3 linked regions of the Drosophila melanogaster genome follow. The protein of the gene in region 2 interacts with the protein of the main gene of each other region in a pairwise test. Each region holds a gene or a part of one and is shown on either strand. Other genes may lie near its edges.

Region 1 (7,146 bases), 6.1 Mb from region 2:
CCGTACAGCTGGTGCGGCGGGGGTGGCAAGAGTGGCGATAGGGACGACGATGTGGTGGCGCCATCGTCCAAGTGTTGGTGATGCAGTTGCTGCTGCGGAATCGGCAGCTCGGATTGCTGATGCTGCTGGTGGTTGAGGTACTGGTGGGGATTCTGGTACTCACCGGCGGCGAAGAGCGCCGAGGCAGTCGCCGCGCTGCGGGAAAGCAGGAAAATGGAAAAGCGCAAGGTTAGAAACAAGGCAATACAAAGTCTCGTATATGGCCGCCATATGTTGCATCACGGAGGACACAGCCCGGGGAGCTGGGACGAGGACTTTTTGCCCACTTCCTGCTGGCGCGACAGGATCCATGGTGACATCATTTCATGGCTCATCAGGCAATTAAGGACGCCCCTGTGCGGCGGTCCACACATGCGAATCACACATGTTGACCAGCCCAGAAGGGATCGGGCGGACCAGCGATCGCCGTGACTCCCGACTGCCTGCCTCGGACATTGTTGTTCTTATTGTTAACACTGTCTCTCCTCGTCTTTGTCTTCGGCCTCTTGTACAAATAACGATGATTTGTCAAAGCCTCGAGCTCAACGCTCAACGCTTGACGCTCTCCGATCCCAGATCCTATTTGCAATTCATGCTTTCTATGTGTTTTCATAGGATTTCTTCTGCTACGTCTCGGCGGAAGGTTATCAAAATATTATCTTTCTTTGGAAAATTGGTAGAAATTAATTTTCCTATGGAGCCCTATTAAATAAAAATAAATAAAAGCGATCGGGACGGGGAAGGGCGCTGTCTTCGAGAAGAAGTCACTGACAGGTAGAAGTGGTGGAAATGTCCATGTATGCCAGTTGATAGCTAAAAATGGCTCAACTAACAGTTGGTCTCTCTCTGAACTGCACAGATACCTTCTTAAATCATTGCAATTTAGATAGTTAACCGGTATAATAATTAGTTTTATATCATATATGTACACTGATTCGATTTAGTAGATTTTGGTAACATGTAGAACACAGTACCTTGGAACTAGTCTATTGGTGTACCCCAATTTTTAGTTGCTTTTGACCCTTAATGTATAATTGATTCAAAACTTCCAAGCTTACCCATCGATATGCCCGTAGGAACCTTCGTAGGCCTCCGTTTGGTTGACCATGTTCAGGATATCCTTGACCGAAAATGGAGTGGTGTTCAGGGCATCCGCGTTCGTCAGGCTGCCCGGACTGGGGGACTGAGTGTAGTGATCGTAGTAGCCACCCGATTGAGCCTGCTGCTGATGGTGCTGCAACATCCTCGCTGTGCGATCACTTGGCCACTTGAGAAGCACTTCGATTTAAATAAGTCCAACAATTTGCCAAATCGCACTTGAACTTGCGACACTTGAATTGGAATCTCGGTAGTCCAGTAATCGAGCAAACACTCCACGCAACCGTTAGCGCAACCGTAAGTGAGTCGTAGCCCGTAATCGGCAATCAGTAGTCCGTAACCCGTAAGCCGTAAAGCGCCGTTCCGATGCGCACTCGACCGTGTCTGCAATTTGTCAGCTCGATTTTGGTACTGAACGCGTACTCCTTTCACCCCAGACCGCCTCATGCCACTGTGTTTTTGGATGTGTGTGAGCGAACTGAGCATACGGGCAAAATGGCCGCCCCGGAGCCAATCACAGCACAGCATCGGAATGCGAGTGCGGCATCTCGCTCTTCTGCGCTAGAGATGTGCGAGGCTGTCATATGCTTAGGAGATTTATAAAATATGTATCCAAATATAAAAAACTAATTTATGTATTACATTTGTAAATTTAATCTAATAGCTTAAGAATATATATGGTATTGACAATATATTTTAAGTTCTGTCCATCACTAATTCCAAACATGTATGCTTGTATGCATGTATGAAAGTATCTTTGCACAATCGCACACATTGTACCTGACTATCAGATTCAATAACCGACTCCTCCAGCTGCTCCCCGTTGTTATTAGTTGTTTGTTCGCAGCCACTTTATGCTGATTTTGTTTCGCTACTTGAGCTTAAGTATCCGTATTTATTATCGTAAAGTCCTTAAGTTTTATAGTCCCCATGTATTTACGTTTGTCCGCGCGTCTTGTGTATTAAACGGTTGTCAAGTGGCGCTCAAGTGCAGATTTTCGCACACTTGATTTTAAGAGTGTACTAAGCTAACAAATAAATAAATCGTGGGGAATATGTTTGGTTTAAACGTTACGCTCTCATATATTATTGTTTATTTCACTTGAAACTGTTATGATTTAATAGAGATGAATAACATGGATATGTGAAGTTGTCTAAATAGAGCAACATTTTTAATAATATTTCGCCTTTATGGGATGAATACCTTCATTTCGAATCTTGGCATTGCACCAAAAACGTGTTCACATATGTATATAATTGCATATGTAGTGCATATGTACATACAGTACACAGATATACATATTATGTACATACATATTTTGTTTGGTATGTTTAAGAACTTTTAGCGAATATTTGCCTTTCTTATAATCCTATTAAGTCACTTTTTTTTTAAAAATATAGTGCCCTTGTGCATTCAGAGTGTAGGGTTTACGTAGTGACGATGCGCTCCATAAGAGTTTGTCAGAGTTATAATGAATTCCGCTAGAAAATAATCCTCCATTCGTAAAAAATCGAAGGCCCAGTTTAAAAAATAGGAGAATTTAAAAAAGTTAAAATTTTTCTGTTTATCTTATGAATTTTATTCTAGTTGTGCTAGTTTGACTGCTAGTCTTTAAACTCGTTAATTTGTATTTTGTTTTATTTCATTTAAAATAAATTAAACATTAAGCTAGACAACAAAACTGTTGTGAAATAAGAAATTTCGTCATAACATAAATACATCGTATACTTAGGCCGATATTTTCTTAGTCCTACAACCTTTTTTAACACACCCGCAAACTAAAATCCTACAGCATATGTAAACTAAAGTATGTAAAAGTTTTCAAAAAGTTATGAACTTAATTATGTGATTTTCGTACTAACATTTAAAAAAAAAATATCAAAGCACATCAACTATCAATATTCATAAAAGTATTTCGATATAAATATTTTAAGCTATCGATATATTGTCACTTTTTGTTTTGCCATCGCCAGCAATCTCGTCGCCTGGTAACACTTCTAATTTTCACGTCAAAGAACTCGGACGCGTTCTGCGTGTCGGCCGCGCTAGCAAAAAACTCTGGCTTTAGTTAGTTATTTTATTGGAAAAATATTTAGTCAAGAGGTGAGTAATGGCGCCCCAAGTGAATATACACAGTAGGTTGCGGTCATTAAGCGAGATAAATGTAATTTACACACACGCACACACAGACAGACGCGTGAAAATTTCCCAGTTTTTTTTGGCTGCAGTGCATTCTATTTTGTGTGTGCCTTTGCCATTTTTCAGCACTCGCTGCATTGAGTTTTAAACGCGCATTGCACTTTTTCGCCTGCAGCCAACAAACGCATAGATACAGAAAAGTATTGATTTTCGTCCAAGATGGCGGACGACGAGCAATTCAGCTTGTGCTGGAACAACTTCAACACGAATTTGTCGGCCGGCTTCCACGAGTCGCTATGCCGCGGCGACCTGGTGGACGTCTCGCTGGCCGCCGAGGGCCAAATAGTGAAGGCCCACCGATTGGTGTTATCCGTCTGCTCGCCCTTCTTCCGCAAGATGTTCACTCAGATGCCGTCGAACACCCACGCTATCGGTGAGTTTGTGCCCCTCAGCTCAGATCTGTAGCTCTACGTGATTTTTTACCTTATACTCTCTTCGCCTATCTTGCAGTATTCCTGAACAACGTCAGCCACTCGGCGCTGAAGGACCTCATCCAATTCATGTACTGCGGCGAGGTCAACGTGAAGCAGGACGCCCTGCCCGCGTTTATTAGCACCGCGGAATCGCTGCAAATCAAGGGGCTAACGGATGTGAGTATATGTATACATTTGTGTGCGTGATATACTGGTATATCGAATCGAGCAACTACAACGCAACCTTTCGCGCCCAATACATACAGACGCGATGGCTGGCGTCTGTATAAGAGCATGGTTTGACTGTACCGAGAAATTTCTCGCAAACCAAATGCCAAAAGGCACGCGTGCCAGAGAGAGACAACTGCAGGGGCTATACGCGAAGCGTTTGTCTCGCTCTGGCTCGCACGGCAGCGGCAAATTGGAGTGGTTGTTTTTGTCTCGCAGCGAATTCGATGCCAAAGCATAAACATTTTTTGCTTTTAAACTAATGTTTAAATTGGGAAATATCTCTTAATGTTTTCGACTAAAATTAACGTATTTGCAAAATTAAATTTAGTGCAGCTGTACCTAAAGAAACAGGCATCGGAACTAGAAAATGTATTATTGTTTCCCAATTCAAGGAAGGCGTACTTTACTAATTAATGGCCAGATTTCTTATTTCTTTGCAAATTCCATTCTAACGGAATAATTCTTTTCAACATATAGTTTTGAAATCGTCCATTTTATTAAATGCAGATACTTTTAAAGTTTATTAAGTTTTGATCGTGGTTCATTTTTAAAGAGGTGCTAGAACATACAAAATATCTTTTCACTTATTCCTAAAATATATGTTAATAATTAAAAAACCAATATTTTTTTTTCAGAACGATCCTGCGCCTCAGCCGCCGCAGGAATCCAGCCCGCCGCCAGCAGCACCTCATGTACAACAACAGCAAATACCGGCTCAGCGGGTGCAGCGCCAGCAGCCTCGCGCCTCCGCCCGCTACAAGATCGAGACCGTGGACGACGGCCTGGGCGACGAGAAACAGAGCACCACCCAGATCGTCATCCAGACCACGGCCGCACCCCAAGCCACCATTGTACAACAGCAGCAACCGCAGCAGGCGGCGCAGCAGATCCAATCGCAGCAGCTGCAGACGGGAACCACGACGACGGCGACGCTGGTGTCGACAAACAAACGCTCTGCCCAGCGCTCCTCCCTGACCCCCGCCTCCTCGAGCGCCGGCGTAAAGCGCTCCAAGACAAGCACCTCCGCAAATGTTATGGACCCTCTCGACTCGACCACTGAAACTGGAGCCACGACAACCGCCCAACTTGTGCCGCAACAGATCACCGTGCAAACCTCTGTGGTCTCTGCGGCAGAAGCAAAGCTCCACCAGCAATCGCCGCAGCAGGTTCGACAGGAGGAAGCCGAGTACATTGATCTCCCCATGGAATTGCCCACGAAATCTGAACCTGACTACTCTGAGGACCATGGCGACGCCGCCGGCGATGCCGAGGGCACCTATGTGGAGGACGATACTTACGGAGACATGCGCTACGACGACAGCTACTTCACTGAAAACGAGGATGCTGGCAACCAGACTGCGGCAAATACGAGCGGTGGCGGAGTGACGGCGACCACTTCCAAGGCTGTGGTCAAGCAACAGTCCCAGAACTACAGTGAATCATCGTTTGTCGACACCAGCGGGGATCAGGGCAACACAGAGGCTCAAGGTTGGTTGAATTGCAAAGCATACATGGCCAGAGGCCAATAGATATAAGCAATATTTAAAGGACATTAAGTCCGCTTGCGAAATGCAAACACGTTAAAAAAAAGATCACATATGTATTCCAAACTTGAACACTTTCCAAATCTATTAGCGTCGCAAGCGGATCATGTCCTTTTAGAGTTCGGCAAAGTGCGTTTAATTTTGTTTTGAACAAACTTAAGCTATACTTCGCTGGCCATTAGTTAATAAGTAGTTTACGGGCCTGTGTTCTATTTCGAATCGACAAAGAGCACTAGGCAGATCTGCTGTCCGATGCATATTTGTTAAATGCTGGACGGAGATCGCGCGGTTTTACACTTATTCAGTTAAAAGGTAAGTAGAGTGATGAAATTTTAAGAAGCTGCTACGATGGATATCTGATGTCAACGTGAAGCCGAACCCGTGAAGAGCTGCAACTACTCAAGGTAATACCGGCACTCTTAAAACCACACCTATCCATATATTTTTCCAAAATTTGCAGGCATTTGTAATTGTTTATTTGACTGAGCAAAGCGAGTAATTGGAGTTTTCAATCTTACATGATCAGGGGGTTATTATTTGGGCATGCGCATTTCTGTTTAATAATGATCCTCTGGTGATGCTAAGGCTACTGAGGTTTGTTGTTATTTATGTTTTCAAACTCGTACTTAAAGATGTTGTCTGGATTTGTTTAAGCAACGTAAAAGCTTGCTGATGCAAATCCAGCAACGGCATTGATTGCCGAGTCTTAAAAAAAAAATTGTATTTATAACGCTGTGTTATAGTAAAGGTTCATTTCTAATCGTTTTAGTGGTCACGTAAAAAAAAAAGGAAAGATTTTAATAATACGTATAGGGAGACTCTTTTAACGTTATCAGTGGAGAGGAAATTTATTTCTTCATGCAGCGTCGATTCTGTTTTACTTTTTGCGTGCTGATTTTGTTTTTTCATTCCAAATTTTTTGTATGGAACATTTTGCGTGTTTTTTTTATATGGTTCCGAATTAAAGGGTGTCTGAAGAATTTCACGATATTTACGGATGTCGCGGTAACCTTAAACAAAAAAAACAGAATATACTAGACCTCTTACCTAATTGGTAAGAGATAATCATAAACCGTTTTAATTCATATAGGCGATAGTTTATATACCTTGGAACAAAAGGTTGGACCGCCTTGAAGCATTTCCGACTTATATTTCCTTTATTTGTAGTAGTAATTTTCGTTTTTTTATTGTTAAGCGTATTTGAGAAAATTTATATTAACGTTTGAATCGTGTAATTTATATTTTGCGCGCCTGGTCCGGATATTTAGAAAGTATCCACAGAATATATTATATATATATTTGTAGTATGAAAAAATAAAGAATTAAAATTTGAATTAATGCGGAGTTGCCATTTTGTGGAAATTGAGGACGGTGTTGCCACTTCCGGAAACCCTAATTGAATGTGCAGCCCTGGTGCTTCGGCTGTGTGGCAACGCCGTGCAAATTCATTAAAAAAATGCAAGCCAATTTGTTTTGTTATTTTATTGCATCCGAATTACACGGCCTATTTGTTCACAATTAATTATTTCCAGCTTGTGACGGTGTGTTTGGTGTGGTGTTTATTTAATATTTAAAGTGATGGGGCTGGTAAGGGGGGCAACGCCTCCCTATTTCCACCCTT
Region 2 (9,344 bases):
AAATTAAACACATTGGCGCCATTTGCAGGGGAACGGGTTCTGTGCTTCCACGGACCGCTCATCTACGAGGCCAAGGTTCTGAAAACAAAACCCGATGCGACGCCGGTTGAGTACTACATCCACTACGCGGGCTGGAGTAAAAAGTGAGCAAAGCTACTAGTATGAACACCGATCTGCATGAAAGCCATTTCATTTTCAGCTGGGACGAGTGGGTGCCCGAGAACCGAGTCCTCAAGTACAACGATGACAACGTCAAGCGACGTCAGGAACTGGCTCGCCAGTGCGGCGAGCGCTCCAAGAAGGATAATAAGAAAGGTGAGTTCAGTAACAAACGCAATTCCTGGAGTTGTAAATTAAGGTGTTTACATACCAGGCAGCGCCAAGGCCAAGAAAATGGAACAGATGCGGAACGAATCTCGTGCCTCGACGCCGTCTAAGGATAGCAACACCTCGCAATCGACCGCTAGCAGCACACCAACAACTAGCGCCGGACCGGGAAGCAAATCGGAAGCCGGGAGCACTGGCACCACGACTACTAACAGCACCGCCAACTCTACAACCAGCCGGGCCCACCGAAAGTCCACACAATCGACGCCATCCACAGCAAGACCTGGCACGCCGAGTGATAAAAAGGAAGACCCCGCCGCAGCTGAGACCACTGAGGAAGAGGGGCCGGTGGCGCCGAAAAAGAAAAGAATGAGCGAACAACGGCCTTCTCTTACGGGAAGCGATGTAGCAGAAAAGCCGTTGCCGCCCACTACCACTCCATCCACACCCACCACGGAGCCGGCACCGTGTGTGGAAAGCGAGGAGGCCTACGCAGCTAAGGTGGAGGTCAAGATTAAGATACCCGACGAGTTAAAGCACTATCTGACCGACGACTGGTATGCGGTGGTGCGGGAGCACAAACTGCTGGAGCTGCCCGCCAAGGTTACCGTGCAGCAGATCTCTGAGCAGTATTTGGCGCACAAGAAGTCCGTGAAATCGACCAGTGCCAGCAAGGAGGTTGCCATAAACGATGTACTCGACGGAATTGTAGAGTACTTCAATGTAATGCTGGGCTCCCAGTTGCTGTACAAATTCGAACGCACCCAGTACGCGGATGTGATGCAGAAGCATCCGGACACACCGTTGTCCGAGCTTTACGGATCTTTTCACCTGCTGCGTCTGTTTGTCCGCCTTGGCTCAATGCTCAGCTACTCTGCGTTGGATCAGCAGTCCATGCAGAACCTACTCACGCACGTGCAGGATTTCCTTAAATTCCTCGTAAAGAACAGCTCAATATTTTTCAGCATGAGCAACTTTATCAACGTTGATCCCGAGTACGTGCGAAATGCACAGTAAGCAATAATCTTTTCTTGACTTGAAGTAAATATTTCATCAAAACAGTTTGCAATAATTCGGTGGTTGCTCTCAATTTGCTCCCAAATTGTAAATTAAAACACAAGTAAAATGTTTTGTCATAAGGTAATAAATGTCAGCACCTTGTATTAGTTCTTCGGTTTCGCTTTTGTGTCTTCATCATCGCCCTCGGTCTCCGTCTCGCTACTACTACTACTACTGCTGGTGGGATAGAAGTCGCGAAGATCCCTAGGCTTATCCCGCTCCTGCTGTTCCTTCTCCAGGTACTCATTCTGCACCTTAACAATCTCATCGCTGCTCTTGCAGGCTGCATAGGCATTGAGAAGCTTGTCGTTTAGCTCCAGAAAGGCATGACCCCATGAGAACTTGCCCAGAAACCAGCGAGCCTCTTCCGTGAATCCACAGATGTATAGAGTGGCGGCTATGGCCTCCACGCAGCTGAGCTTGCAGGGCTTTCCGTAGTTGATGGGATTGGCGGCCACCAAGAAGGGCAGCAGTCGCGGATGTGGGCTGCGCATCCTTCCAAAGGGCGTCTCGTCCAGCTTGGCCCACGAGCAGTCGATCACGGCCACGCCCGAAGAGGCCACCACATCGCGATCCAGCGGACTTACACACAACTGGCCAACGGGCGAGAGGACAAGGCCAGGAAACTTCTGACCCAGTCGAAGATTTGAAATGAGTCCTAGGCGTGCCAGTTTCCTGCCCGAACACTTCTTTGGATCGCAGTGGTTGAGGTCCCACATGGCCACCGCAAACTCCGGCGGCTGGCCGAGATCATTTTGGGCTCCATCTCCCGAGGATTCCGAGTCGGAACTTTCATTTTCGCTGCTACTGCTGCTGGCCAGCTCGTTGGCCTGCTGAGCAAAGCTGCGGGCACAATTGTGATTCGCTTTGACATTGCGGTAGGGTCCTCCTCCACCCTTCTTTCCTTTGCCGCGGTTCCGTCCACTCATTATGTTTTGGTTTAAAACTTTATCAAAGCAAAAAAGAATCAAAGTGTTTTTAACGTCTCGTGGTGGCCAAGCCGACGACCCGTTTTATATATTTTGATTGCAAAGAAGGGTGGCGCAAGAAATGTGACACATTACGATGTCACTTTTCAAAATTTCAATAGTTTAAGTAAATGTATTTTGTTTTCAACTGCAAAACAATATTTATTAAAGTATTTTAAGTATATGTATTGTGTTTAGTAAGATTTAGCTTAAACTGCAATAACCTTAAAGTATATCATATTCAAATATTTTTAGACTTAACGATTAACTTCATCTGCGTTTACGTCACCTTAAAAATGTTAAGCATGAGACTGAGGTTATCGCATGGCTATCGATAGCTGCCGAGCGCAACCCTGTCACGCCAACGATGAATGGAAAAGAATATGGCGACCTGACTCTGGAAAAAAATTATAATTTGTCCGGCAAAAGTAGTGTGCAATTCAAAGAAATGTATGTATTAAAAGTGCAATTGTGCGGCGATTGTCTGAAAAAAGTACATTCAATCAAAGGACACGCAGTAAACAAGCCGCTGAGGTCAAAGTGATTTGTGCGTGCCCCAAAAAAACCATTGTTGTGTGAAGTGGACAGGCGCGCCAAAAGGGCTCAAAAAATGCCACCCACCGAAAGATGCCAAAGTTGGACTTACAAGAAAACATTGCAGAATTGCGGACAATGAACAATTACTGATAAATAATACAAGAAGCCTGGCGACGCGCACATCGCACACATACGCCCGCGAAACTGTCACACGTACACAGGCGTATATCGATATTTGCGAGTTGCATTTCGCGCCGTGGCGGCAGAGCAAAATAAACCGAATAACCCAAAATCAACGGGCGTCTATTTGAAACTAACAGCGGAATATACCATACTTACTAATTGTTATTCTTTCTTGTTTTACCCATTCACCTGCGTCCCATCCCAATACGCTTTTTCCGACTCCTTACCCCTGCGTGAGTACAGTTGCGCCCTGAAGCCAGAGCAAGCGAAACCACGGGGAGGCTAACGATAAGGATACGGAAACGGAGAGCACGGCCACTAGCCAAGCACACAGCAATATGGGTGAAGTCAAGTCCGTGAAAGTGGACAACTGGGGAGTCTTCTTCCTGCAGAAGCTGCAGAACTTCTTTAATAAAACGGATTACTGCGATTTGACGCTGCAGTTTCGGGACAATTCACAGCTAAAGGTACACCGTCTGGTGCTCAGCGCCTGCACCGACTACTTCAATGTACTGGAGCAGACCTGCGAGATCGTCGACGATGCCCTCATCATGCCCAACGAGTTCCAGGCGGACGTGGTGGTGCCCATTGTCAACTTCATGTACACAGGCACCCTGGAGTTTGAGCTTAAAATGTACGGCAAGCTGTTGCGCACCGCCAAGGAAATGAACATGACGGTGCTGTTGAAGCTGCTAGAGGCGCACCGTCGCACCATGGAGAACGTTAATCGCCAGCAAAGGGTGAGTGGTGGCAATTCATCATTTGTGAAAATATTTTGTAACCTTTTATTTTCTTTAGCCGCCTAGTCCAAAGGGAATACGCCGGCGCACAGTTGGACAGCCCAGTTCGGGTCTTCCACAACAGCGCGTCTTGGGTCCTTCGCCGCAATCGCGAAACGTAGCCACACCCATCGCGCAACGAGCCAACACACAGCGCGGGTCAACTGGCAACACAATGAGCCGAACATCAGGTGGCTCAAATCGTTCGCCGTATGGAGATAGTAGCAATGTGAAGCAGGAGCCAACGTCACCATTCGAGCAGCTGCGAAAGGGTTATAACAATAACAAGAGACCAGCACAGACAAGCCTGCTATCGCCGCCATCCAAGAAGCCCAGTTTGGAAGAGGTTAAGGAATTCGCTGAGCAACAACGGATGCGAAAGCAAATCGCCGCTGAGTACGGAGATAACGATCCTGAGTACGATGGAGGAATGCTTTATGATGATGTCCATGCCGGGGACGATGATGACGATGATATGCCACCGCAGCCATCTACATCTAAGCAGCAATCCCCACAGGGTACACAGACCCAACTAGAACATGGATCCACCACCATTATCTTGAAACAGGACTCACCCAGCCAGACCCCAACAATAATTGTCAAGGACTCCTCCAACGCCAAGCTGAATCACACCAAGATCATTGCCGAAGTCTTGCGCCAGTATCCGCACATTGTAAAGGGCCACAAAAACATAAAGCTAAAGATTATGCCCAATACCCCGGCAGCGCCGACCGAAAAATCTGCTCCAGCGACAGTAAAACCCCCGGCGAACCAGTCATCCGCAACTACATCGCCACACAAGAAACTGCACGTTTCTTTCAAAGCCGACAAGAGTACGCCACTAATCACAGCACAACAGAAGGCGGCTAGCTCTCAGCAAAAGTCGGGAACCTCGCAGACAACCGGTAACCAGGGAACCGGGGCGAATCCACCAGCAAATACAGCCGCAGCCCAGAAGAGACGCATTGATAGTAAGACAATGCACGCCTTGATCGCTCAGGGAGCAGAGAATACTACTGGTGAGTACAACATTTGTAGGTAATAGGTTCCCAAAAACAACTACTAATGAATATCTATATTTCAGGGCCCTGGCTGTGCCTGAGATGCGGCGTAAACGGACGACCCATTAGCATTCCGTCGTACCGAGGCTTCCGACGCCATCTGATCAACACGCACAAGGAGACAATTGATCCGGCGCTTTGTGAGCATTGCGGGTGGAGGTCTGTCAACAACCGGGAACTGCATTTCCACATGTATATGGAGCACCAGACCAAGTCGCTGCTGTATACGTTTGCCGAGTGCGCGCTATGCAACCAGTCTTACCGGACCAAGGGTGAGTTGGAGGCGCACATAAACGAGGTGCACACGGACGACAACAAGCAGCAGTGCATCTACTGCAACAAGGTGTTCGAGCAAGAGCTGCAGCTGTACAGACACATGAAGAGCTACCACAAGGAGCAGGCTTTGGAGGATGGCATTATCGATGAAACGGACGAAGAATTCCTCGGCTCGCAAGACGAGGAGGAAGAGGCCGAAGGAGACGAAGAGCAGGAACCAGAGCAGACTGGCAAAGTGCGAATCCTTTCGGACATAAGTCTACCAGCCACCAGTGCCATCACAGTGCAGCAAGCTCAACAGGAGCAACTGCAAGAGGAAGATGTTGAACAGGTGCAGCAGGAAGTCAAATTCGTGGGCGCCGATGGCAATGAGGTGGAGCTTACTGATGAGCAGCGCAAAGAGATTCTCTCACAGCTTAACCAGCAGCAAGCAGGCGCCACTGCCGGCGGTGTGGTAATGGTGCTCAGTGAGCCAGAAGCGGAGCACGTCAAGCAGGAGACCGATGAAAAATCCCTGGCCGGCACCGAAGAGGAATATGATGACAGTCAAATCTATAGCGAACTGGGTGCTGCCGACTCTGTGGAGAGCGCCAAAAAGAACATTGCTGATGAAAGCAAAGAGTCCATTGACAACCTGGAATGGGCCGAAAACCTTATAGCCGAGTCTGAAGAACAGAGCAACAAGGAGGTGAGTTTATTAAACACTTTTATGCAAGTACATCTACAACATGAGTCATACAACTTACAGCCAAAATCGGATAAGCCGCGAGATGACATTAGTGAAAAGCTAAAGGAGCTTACCGGCGACTGGACGGAGGATGAGAACGATGACGATGTCGACGATAAGCCCGCTACCGCAGAGCTTGCATCCGAACTAGCCAACAAGGACCCTGAGCCAACAGTACACGAGGAAGAAGATGATATTGACTTGGCTCTCCAGTCTCTACACAAGGGACCCGAAGAGGCAACTGAAGAAAAGGCAAGTGAGGAGTCTGTCACCAGTGCGGACGATGCAGTTGACGCAGTCCCCAATATAAATAGTCAGCCCGAGAAAATGGATGTGGACTCAGAAGCGGCGGACGAGAAGGCTTCGAAGGCCGAGGTCCAGATCAAGAAAGAGGCTGAGCTTGAAAACGATCAAGAGGAATTTATCAAAGAGGATTCACCAATTCCGCATTCCGATTCCGTGGCGGAATTAAGAGAGGCGGTAACTGCCTCTGAGGGCGAGGATGATGTGCATCTAGAGGCCGATAACATACGCAAAGAGCTGCTAGATGAGTTAATTGCCGAGGCCGAGAAACCTGATCAGGAGAAGGACATTGTTCAATCTGAAGAGAATGCGACGACAGAGGCGTTAGATAGGTCAGTAACGGACGAGGATGACCTGGTGCCACCTACGCAGGTATCTACCGAACAAATGGAGATTGATGAACCAGCAGCGGAAAAAGCAGCCGAAAATAATGAAGATACTAGAACGGCAGACGAGAAGGAAGCCGTCGAGGACAAACCAAACCAGACACAGGATGTAACCACTGCAGAAAAGCCGACACTAGAAAGTGCAAAAGCAGGTGATGAAGCAACGTCAGGTGAAGCAGCCAGCGTGGACAAGGTCAAGAGCCTCATTAGCGAATGGGGTGACGACGATGAGGACGAGGATGAGAATGGGGTTAGTGCGGCGGCGAAGGAGGAGCTATAATTACTAGATTTATTTATGTTCTAAGTTTGGCGATTCAACGCAGGTCAGCAGATAAACGCACCTGAGCTCGGCGCGAATTTTCGGTTTCTATTGTAAATTAAATTGTTAATGAAGATCAAGGTGAATGATAAGATATGCATATGCACTGGTTTAAGTGTATAAGATCTAATCTACTCATCTCACGTAATTGTAAATCCCCTCCCATCCCAAGTATGTTGCCCTGCTAGCATGAAAATCGTAAATCTAAGAGGAGTTCCCCAAATGACCTTAAATGAGAGATCAGAGACCAAACAACCCAACATTTAGCTATTTATGAGTGTCCGTTTCTTCACACATACACCACCAATAGAGCAACCAAGCAACATTTCACGATTAGGTAAACACTATATATATATATACACATATGCCTATTTACATACATATAGAGATGTAGTTACATAGATGTTGTTTTAATTCGTTTAAAACAGTGACATGATGTCCCCAGAAAGTAATAAAATGATTGCGTTTAATGGTTGGCTAAGTAAGATTAATCAAAAGGAAAAGAGGATGCCCTTTTTTTGATTAACAACTTAATTGTAAGGTTTATTACATATAATAAAAGCATAAAAAATAACACAAACTTTGGAGAAAGAGAAAATATAAATGTAGACGAGAAGACTGAACTTTTTACTTATCCTACGGCAGATCGACAATGTACCTAAAACAAGATTAGTTGGAAATGCACAAGTAACAAGTCTTACACAAGAGATTAACAGCTGCCAATCCATAATATTATCCTAAGTGTTCTAAGTTTAAAAAGCGGCACATTTTCTCACAGCGCTGAAACGATTTCTCAACGAAAAGATGTCTAATCCTCATCTGAAAAGGCGCGAAGAAAATAGGTCAGCAATGTCGAAAGGGAAATGCAAATCACATAATGCTACGCACCAGAAAGATAAAAGTTTATGATGCACATGGTCGCAAAGCCGGCGAGCACAGTTGCAAACTGTGCAAATCCCGCCCAGCGTCGCGTTGAGTTCGAGTGCCAGCGCGCCTTCTCGCGCGGTATCACCTCGCAGACGGTGACGTAGAAGAGTGTGCCTCCGGCCAGAGCTTGGACGATAGGCAGAGTTTTGCTGGACCAAGCGGCGGGCACGTCCACGATAAGCATGCCCAGGCCAATGCCAATGACGGCGCCCAGGGCAAACACCGAAATGCCGACGAACTGGGCGCGAAAACTCGTCTGCGGATTCGAGCGGAACTCGAGCCCCAGACAAAAGCCCATCACGAACTTGTGGCAGGCGACGGCCCCTAGAAGAAACAGAACCTACGACGAGACAAAGCAGATTCCGGTTATCTAATTGGACTAAGCCCTCGCATCTCTTTGCTTCAATATTTGCCTAAGATTGCGCACTATAGCCGATCTAGTCTAACTATGTCAAGGCAGGCGGCACAGACCTTTGTGGAAGAGTTCTGAACGCCGATGGCGAGTCCTTCGATGGCCGAGTGCAGTGACAGGGCGACAAAGAGACCCAGAGTGCCTGTCATGGATTGGGCGCAGGGTTCCGTGTGGCTGGTGTGGCAGATGCGGGCGTTGGCGTCCTCTACACTGGCATCATTACAGCCAGATGCGCTGGCCGGGTGATTGTGGTCATGATCGCTGCGTAATCGAAGCACAAAGCAATTAGTTTTGGCTGCGGGAAGGGAAATGCAATAAACCTACTGGCTATGATGGTGCGAATGCCCATGTGACGTATTGGGTTCCGCTGATAAAAGGGGCGCTCGTTCGTCCACTGCGCCATAACCATTGTCATTAGTGGGACGTCTTGGTGGCTCGGTTGCTGGAGTCTCTGCATCGTGGGCATGAGTGTGCTGAATGGCCTCGCCAAAGAAGTAGTGTATGAACTCGTCGATAAAGTAGATGATGAAGAACCCGCCGCACATGGCAACCTCAGCGAATTTCGAGTCCATTTGTTCGCGCACCTGTTGCATGCGTAAGTCAGCAGGTTATCAAATTGCAGCCACACACACGATCGCAGTCCAAGCTCTTACCTCGGGCAGAATGTGCACCAGTGCGGTGGCTAGCAGAATGCCCGCTCCGAAGCACAGGAGCAGGGATGCGGTCAGCGGGAAGCGGCGACGATTCCGTTCCGATATAAAGGCGGGCAGCAATCCGAACAAAAGACTCCCGAGTCCGAGGACCAGCATAGCCAGCACTTTTTCCAAGTCGCCGCGACTCGTGGCAGCCAGGGTGGGGCTTGGGGTGATCTCCATGTTTAGACCGTCGGTTGGCAAGCTCATTGTATCAACTGCCAGACTGTGTCATCAAGAAGGGGGCCAGTAAAACACACAAAAGTTCGTTGCATTTACTATTTTTAAACTAAACAGTTGCGAAGTGTGTGCAGCTGCTTTCGTGCGAAATACCAAAACGCCTTACAATGGGGGGGCCACAGAAAAGTAAGGCATTTCAGCAGTGCGC
Region 3 (7,624 bases), on a different chromosome or scaffold from region 2:
GCAACGTGAGTTGGACTTACAGATTGTATATAGTATAGTACATTTTTTCGCTGCCTTAACTGCGTACAATTGTTTTCCAGGAAAGTATACCAACCGTCAATCGCTGACGGCGATCATTTACGTAATGGTGGTAACTGACGAAACGGACGTCAATCGCGCCGAGGACGCCAGAGTCTTCAGCGTGCACCCAGTCTTTCGGGCCCGTCGATGCGTCGGTGAGTCATCCTTTGCATACGTATGCAATTTACAATATATTTCCTATCTATCTATCAATGGATCCATTTAATACTCAGTTGGCAGTAGTGGCACCAGCAGCGTCAGCTCGAATTGCTGCAATCTGTTTATCGACGAGCTTGGTCGGGTCTACCAAAACTGGGAGATGTATGTGACCACCAACGAGTTGCCTGCCGGAGTGATGGTGGCCCCAGAGAAGGGTATTTACCGCTTGGTCAGGGATCAAGTACGTCTGGATAAGTACACAACGCCGGCGGGCACGACCAACAGGAAGGTGCTGGGCTACCTGGATACTGGGTCGGCAGTCGGAGGATTTTTTGCTGCCTGTGTGCCCATTGCTGCCCTGCTAACGCTGCCCGTATCCGCTCCGCTGATGGGCGCAGCGGGAGTAGTAGGTTTGGCCAGTGCTGGATACGCCGCATCGCGGTCTGGCAGCAAGCTATTCGATCGCAGCCAACATGAGCAGTCTATCAATGTGACGGACCGCGAAGCGCGTGGTCACTGGTTGGGCGTGGCTGGTGGCACTGTGGGATTGGCAGCGGCTGGGGCCACCACAGTCTTGACAACGGCCACAAATGCTGGACGCGAGGTGGGAGCGGTGAGTCCTTAAACCCCCCCCCCCACGCAATCAACAATGGAATAAAAATGTTAAATATGTACTCACATAGATCACCCAACTGACTGTGAATAGCATGAACATATCCTCGATTGTGGTATCGGGCACTGGAGTTGCCAATGGTGTGCTGGATCTGATATTGGCAAGTCTCGAAACTTAGACTGTGATTAGATTAGGCTAGATAGATTAAACTTATGAAATTTATGATCTTCCACAGAAAGCAAAAGACGGTGACGAAATAGTTGCGATGGATGTTTTGCAATTGTCCGCTTCGTTGGTGCTGCTCACGCACAGCGTCTACAACTTTAAATTGGCTTCGACCATAATTAATGAGACAAGCAATGCTAATATTGCCGACTATCGTAAAAACCTTTCTAATAGGCAGCGGTAAAAAACGTTCAATGAGATACATTCTGTCGTAAACAAGAGTTTCTACTTGTATTTTTTTTACCATCAGGCGAACCTTTGACAAGGCTGCCAAGGAGACCGTTCGGATGCAAGGCAACACTCGCGGCAAACTGGACATTATACGCAACGTAAACGAAATTTCGCCACAAGAGTTTAATGATCTTTTTAAGATCAACAAAAACTTGAATCAGGAGGGCGTGCGATACTCATTCGCACCCGATGGCAAAGGATTTTTACTAAATGGCGATGTGCAGACGACGGGTGCGGAATTGCGAGCTAGTGTACAACATAACCAAGGAGGGAATGTCCTAGGCAAAGTTAGTCAGCCCATTCCCGGTAGCCATGCGGGTTCTGGTCGCCTTCAACTGGGCGGCGTTAATCAGGTTTCCCGTCTAATCGGACCGCTGCCCACATCCCATCCTCGACAGGAACCCAGTACCTATGCCGCCGGCGTGTTCGCCTTGGAGCTAAGCTCTGTGTTGGTGGGCGGTGTTGTTTTCGTACTGGAGAAATACGGAAAAATCATATTTGAGCACGTGATCAATGCTGAAAGTTTTGAGAGCCTAATCAACATCATGGCCAATAAGCTTGATCCAAAAGTCTTTGACCATATAATGCTATTGACCAGAGCCTTCATGGACACCATGCTGGAAGACCTCACCTCGGTGCTAAAGTTCTTTATATCAACGGAATCCGTTCTTTACCGCATTTTGTTGTACATTTTACGGAACTTCGAGGACGTGCAACTTTCGGTTATTGCGGATCACACTTGTGAGATCGTAGAAGCCGTAAGGGTGTACTTCATGTCCCTGAATCCAAATGCGTTCCCGGGTCTCCTTCAGAAGTGTCCGAAATGTATCGGCCACTTCAGCGTTTGTCCCTTGTAAGTGTTTAACGAAATGGTTCGTTTAACATTAGAATTCAAGGGCCATCAGCATGTCATAATTGATGCCCAATTGTTTAACCACAAAGAAACGTTAGCTAGTTCCGCAAATAATCAATGGGATAACTTACTTAATATGAGCACAAATTGACAAAGATGAAATTGTTTTAGCATTTAAATAAAGATTTTATTAACCCTGTTGAAATAATTGTAATAAAAGGAGAATTTTGAACCGGAATGGTTCTGATTTCCGGTTTTCGAACACAGAATATGTGAATCATTCATTGTGTAAAGGGGATTTTTTTTAATCTTTAAGAGTAATTCCTAAATTTACAATCTGATGTCATCTATACTATGGTATAATAGCAACAGCCATACCACCAAATCATTGAATGCCTTAGAATATAAGTCATAAATTCAAGTATCCCATAAGAACAACCCCAATTCTGGTGACAATAACAAATCCAGCCTGCCCTAATGTAACCATTAACATCTGCTGCCGAATCCGTTATTCCCACCAAAGGGTCAAAACCGCTAACGCAGCTCAAGTTCTCGGCTGATCAGTACCCATGAGCGATCCATCCACTCAAGAGGGCACCCAATCCAACAGACATAAACATCCGCAGGGGCTTTCGCGACATCAAAACCGCTTACGCAGCCCAAATCCTTGGCTTATCCAGTATCCAAAAGAATACAGATTATATTTTTTATCTAATAAATTACCGTGGATTCGTTATTATATATTTTCTGTTATCAAGAATTAAAGATAGTTTATATAGAGATGACAAGATACGAAACCAATCGAACTATCGATAGCTGGCGGTACTGATGCTACATGTCGCCATCTTTTATTAGAAATGGGCAGCTGTTTCATGTGGACGCAAATTAAATTGTAGATTTAACAACAATAACGACAACCGGCGTCCCTTTCAACATATTTTTTATTGGCAACCAAGTGTCGGTAGGTGAATTGAATCAAGCGGGATTACAATTGGTCGTTGCGAGAAATCGATAAGCGCCCTCTTCGGGATCCCGGTCATCCGCTGTGGGTCGCCACCAAAACAAATCCAATTTGTCCATAGGAATGCCAAGGAGGACAAAAAAGGACGAGGACCCCGAGGATCTGCAGACCTTCCTCAACAATTTCCATAAGGAGATCGAAGGCAACAGCGATGAGAAGGTGGTAAACACGATTTTGGAGGCCATCAGCGCCGAGGCCATCGACTTGGATGAAAATGGTGCGGAGGCTGGTGGATCGAAACCGATGGAGGAGGCGGAGGCTGATTTGGATCATGCGGAGGAAGCGGAGGAGGAGGAGGAGGACGACGAGGATAAGTATTTCATAGATGACGAGGGCAACTGCTATATCAAGACTACGCCCAAGAAGCAAAAGGAGCTACAAAAGAAGCTCAAACAGGCGGCTGCCAAGCCGGGGAAAGCTACACGTTCCGTGGTCAGTACAGCCACCAATAAATGTGAGTTACCCTTTGCCATATATGTGCGTGCATTTGTATCACTTGCTCGACTCTTTTTAAGCCATCAATTTGCGGCCAGCCAAATCGACACCGAAAGCGACTACTTCGAAGCCTCCCCCAGAACCCAAGGCAATTAGCGTTCGACCAGCCCGAGCAGCTGCAGCCAAGGCGAAGCAATCGGCGATGCCACCGCCACCGGCATTAGTGGTCAAAGTACCGGCACCCAGGGGCAGGCCTAGAAAGAACCCTGTCATACCGAAGCCTGAACCCATGGACTTGGAGCGGGAGCTCGAGGAGCTGGTAGATGAGCCCGACATCAGTTCAATGGTGACAGAATTGTCGGACTATACCGTAGACGAAGCTGCCGTAGAGGCAGCAACAGCTACGCTGACGCCAAACGAGGCTGAGGTCTACGAATTTGAGGACAATGCGACGACAGAGGATGAGAATGCCGACAAGAAGGACGTAGACTTTGTGCTAAGCAACAAGGAGGTGAAGCTGAAGACAGCTTCTTCTACCAGCCAGAATTCGAATGCATCGGGACATAAGTACTCATGCCCACACTGCCCGTATACGGCGAGCAAGAAGTTTCTGATCACGCGCCACTCACGAAGTCATGACGTCGAGCCATCCTTCAAGTGCTCCATCTGCGAGAGGTCCTTTCGATCGAACGTGGGCCTGCAAAACCACATAAACACGCACATGGGCAATAAGCCGCACAAGTGCAAGCTCTGCGAAAGCGCCTTCACCACCAGCGGCGAGCTGGTCCGTCACACTCGCTACAAGCACACTAAGGAAAAACCGCACAAGTGCACGGAGTGCACATACGCCAGCGTGGAACTGACCAAACTGCGCCGCCACATGACCTGCCATACGGGCGAGAGACCATATCAATGTCCGCACTGCACCTACGCATCGCAGGACATGTTCAAGCTGAAGCGACACATGGTTATCCACACCGGCGAGAAGAAGTACCAATGCGACATCTGCAAGTCGCGATTTACGCAATCTAACTCACTAAAGGCCCACAAGCTCATCCACAGCGTGGTCGACAAGCCCGTCTTTCAGTGCAACTACTGCCCGACGACTTGCGGTCGGAAGGCTGACCTGCGCGTTCACATTAAACACATGCACACCTCTGATGTGCCAATGACATGCCGGCGCTGTGGCCAGCAGCTGCCCGATCGCTATCAATACAAGCTGCACGTTAAGTCACACGAGGGCGAAAAGTGTTACAGCTGCAAGCTGTGCAGCTACGCTTCGGTCACCCAACGCCATTTGGCCTCACACATGCTCATCCACCTGGACGAAAAGCCGTTCCATTGCGATCAGTGCCCGCAGGCCTTCCGGCAGCGTCAATTGCTGCGCCGCCATATGAATCTCGTGCACAACGAAGAGTATCAGCCACCAGAACCGCGCGAGAAACTGCACAAGTGTCCGAGTTGTCCGCGGGAGTTTACCCACAAGGGTAATCTAATGAGACACATGGAGACTCACGATGATTCGGCGAATGCTCGCGAAAAGCGGCGTCGCCTTAAATTGGGCCGCAATGTGCGGCTGCAGAAAGATGGCACTGTCATCACGTTGATCAAGGATCAGTATGTGGATATGGACCGGGACCAGGAGGAAAACGAAGAGGATGACAACCCAGAGAGCTATGACTTGGCTGAAATCGAGCCGGAGAACTCGGAGGCTGAAGACGCCGATGATGATGTGGAAACCATAGTCAGTGATCCGATCCGTCAGAGAATCAAGCCAGCACCTATCATTATCAACAAACAGGCCAGGCTTGCCGCCTCCGAAAAGCAGCCGATGATCATCAATCAACGCCTCCGAAGTCAACGGGGCACCAAGACGTTCCACATCAAGGAGGAGCCGGACAACTCGGACTTCACCGTGGAATGGCAAGGGGATGATGGCGAGGTAATGGTCGTAGAGCTGGTTAATGGCGACGAGGAGGTGTTGGTCAAGCACGAACCGAGCGCCAACTCCAAGATCAGTGCCAAAAACTGCTTTGGTTTCGAGGTTAGTTGCAAAAACTTTAGCTGGCATTTGTTCCATTACTCAAAAATTTGGTTTTCATGCAGGACGACGATGATTATGAGGAGTATGGCGATGGGGAAAACGAGGTCGATGGCGCTTCCCAGGAGTTTCTGCAGCTGATGGATATGATTGAGCAGGACTCTTAGTCTCCTGAAAACAAAAGCTAATGGATAAGTAATTATGACTAACTTATGTACATACCAAGCATACAATAACGTATTTCTACGTTACATTGTTTTCTATTTAAATACACATTTAAAACAGTTAGGAAACCTATTTTTACTAGGTTAAGAAATGGATATTAAAAATGTATTCTTTCTAAATGAATGTATAATTCTGGATAAGCAGTTAACATGCCGATATGGCGACTATTTGTAAATGATCCCCGACACTTAAACTTTAGTTGACAACTTGGCATAAATATTTATTTAAATACATTTACATATATTTCAATGTTTTCATTAGTAGTATATAGTATATGGGCAAAATGTTAGGTGCGTTTGCGTTTAGCTGCATCTGGGCGTGCACTGTAAATTCTCGGCTATTAGTTGTCGTTTCTACCGTAAAATGTTCGCATAGTTTATAGTTTTCCATTTCCACTTCAGCAATCTGGTTAATTTTCTTGTTATTTTTCCGGTTTCTCTTGCCGTTTATTTCTTTTTGTTTCTTTCATGTGTATAACTACAATAAAAATATATATATTTTTATATATAATATATGTATATATTTTTTAGGTGGTGCAATGTGCAAAAACCTGCCGTGCAGTGCATCATTATCATTATTTCAATATATATAGTTGCGTTCATTTGTGTTGATTTTATAGTGTCTGCATAAAACATTAACAATTTGTCGTTAATAGTACATATGTATGTATGTATACGAATCGCATTTGTATAACAATTAAAATGGAACAACGTCGATAAAGGAAGTGCACATTGAGTTCCGAGTGAGTTAGATTTGATAAAATGACACTTAGAAATTGAAAATTGCTTGCAGAATTGAGTTACGAATACGAAACACACTTAGAAATACAAGAGCTAAAAAATTGCATATTCTATAATTCAGTAATGCTCTGCGAGATTTGCTTGATCCCCACCCCCCCCCCCCTCTCCCATTCGTTGGGCGAAACTAAAACTGGGGAAACTAAACGAGCTAACTAACTACGTAACTTTGAAGCAAAACTAAATTAAAAGTATAAAGTAAAATGTAAAAGTAAAAAAACAAATTCTTGGAAAGCTGTAATATGGCTCTTTGCTAGCTCAACGATAAGCTTGGCTTATATCAATTTACTTTTGGCTTAACAATTTTCTGTAAGGCTGCTGTTGGTTTTGTTATCCATCCCATTTCATCCGATTCACTATCAAATCCAAATCCTATCCTCCTCCTATTTCCGTTCTCATCGCTCTGGTTTCGGTTGACAGTAAGGTAGGGGTTCTCTGTGGGCTTTTCGGTTTGGCAAAGGGTAACATAAATCTCAGAATATCTTCAGCTTCTGCAGGAAACGCAACAGGGGCGCACTGAGGCACGCAGGCGTCGGCTGGCTGCTGGCCTGCTGCTGTCCCGGATTGGCGGCAAAAGAGGCTCTGCCGTTCGCAATTCACGACTGCTCCCTCTTTTGCCTCTTTGGCTGCTAATTGCAATTGAGCGTGTTCTGGTTGGGGCTGCTGCGTGAGACGTTGTTGTGATTGATCTGGTTCGACTGCGTGATGCTGGCGCTATCGCTCGTCTTCCACGACAGCAGCTTGTTGAGCAGGCGGTCCATGTACGGATTGCTACCCAAACGAGCCACCTGTGTGGGTTGAGAGATTACTTTAGTTTAGCACAAAACACGTAGCAACGATGGGATGTGTGCGAATTTCTACTTTTAACATCATCAAGACTTCCAAGCAACTTCCACTTCCCATTGCTTGTCTTCAAGTACTAACCTCCGACCGAGCCTCTGCGTCGAGCGACTCCAGAACCTTG

Evidence for each region.
Region 1: the proteins of Cp190 (region 2) and mod(mdg4) interact in binary tests that used the Drosophila melanogaster proteins (3 or more experiments, as listed by UniProt).
Region 3: the proteins of Cp190 (region 2) and CTCF interact in a two-hybrid assay, tested with the Drosophila melanogaster proteins (3 studies listed by BioGRID).

The regions. Positions count from the first base shown.
Region 1 is NT_033777.3:21,373,383-21,380,528, reverse strand, and holds the start of mod(mdg4) (modifier of mdg4), read left to right. Parts: upstream 1-3,127; 5' UTR 3,128-3,241; intron 3,242-3,452; 5' UTR 3,453-3,496; coding exon 3,497-3,710; intron 3,711-3,787; coding exon 3,788-3,927; intron 3,928-4,616; coding exon 4,617-5,469; intron 5,470-6,953; exon of another isoform or gene 6,954-7,146. Other genes in the region: tin (tinman), read right to left, coding at 1-195, 1,098-1,282. UniProt on the Drosophila melanogaster protein: Component of the gypsy chromatin insulator complex which is required for the function of the gypsy chromatin insulator and other endogenous chromatin insulators.
Region 2 is NT_033777.3:15,268,585-15,277,928, reverse strand, and holds Cp190 (centrosomal protein 190kD), read left to right. Parts: upstream 1-2,687; 5' UTR 2,688-2,804; intron 2,805-3,138; exon of another isoform or gene 3,139-3,317; 5' UTR 3,318-3,412; coding exon 3,413-3,814; intron 3,815-3,872; coding exon 3,873-4,872; intron 4,873-4,937; coding exon 4,938-5,878; intron 5,879-5,938; coding exon 5,939-6,886; 3' UTR 6,887-7,497; downstream 7,498-9,344. Other genes in the region: MRG15 (MORF-related gene 15), read left to right, coding at 29-143, 200-315, 359-1,344; CG4338 (uncharacterized protein), read right to left, coding at 1,491-2,315; Zip88E (Zinc/iron regulated transporter-related protein 88E), read right to left, coding at 7,734-7,744, 7,814-8,192, 8,324-8,525, 8,589-8,848, 8,918-9,166. UniProt on the Drosophila melanogaster protein: Plays a central role in chromatin domain organization and boundary function through recruitment by a range of insulator DNA-binding proteins, including ZIPIC, pita, CTCF, su(Hw), cliff and others.
Region 3 is NT_037436.4:7,352,059-7,359,682, reverse strand, and holds CTCF (CTCF), read left to right. Parts: upstream 1-2,969; 5' UTR 2,970-3,102; exon of another isoform or gene 3,103-3,223; 5' UTR 3,224-3,225; coding exon 3,226-3,616; exon of another isoform or gene 3,617-3,677; coding exon 3,678-5,641; intron 5,642-5,703; coding exon 5,704-5,805; 3' UTR 5,806-6,105; downstream 6,106-7,624. Other genes in the region: pst (pastrel), read left to right, coding at 1-215, 294-832, 903-992, 1,068-1,237, 1,308-2,145; qm (quemao), read right to left, coding at 7,290-7,448, 7,585-7,624.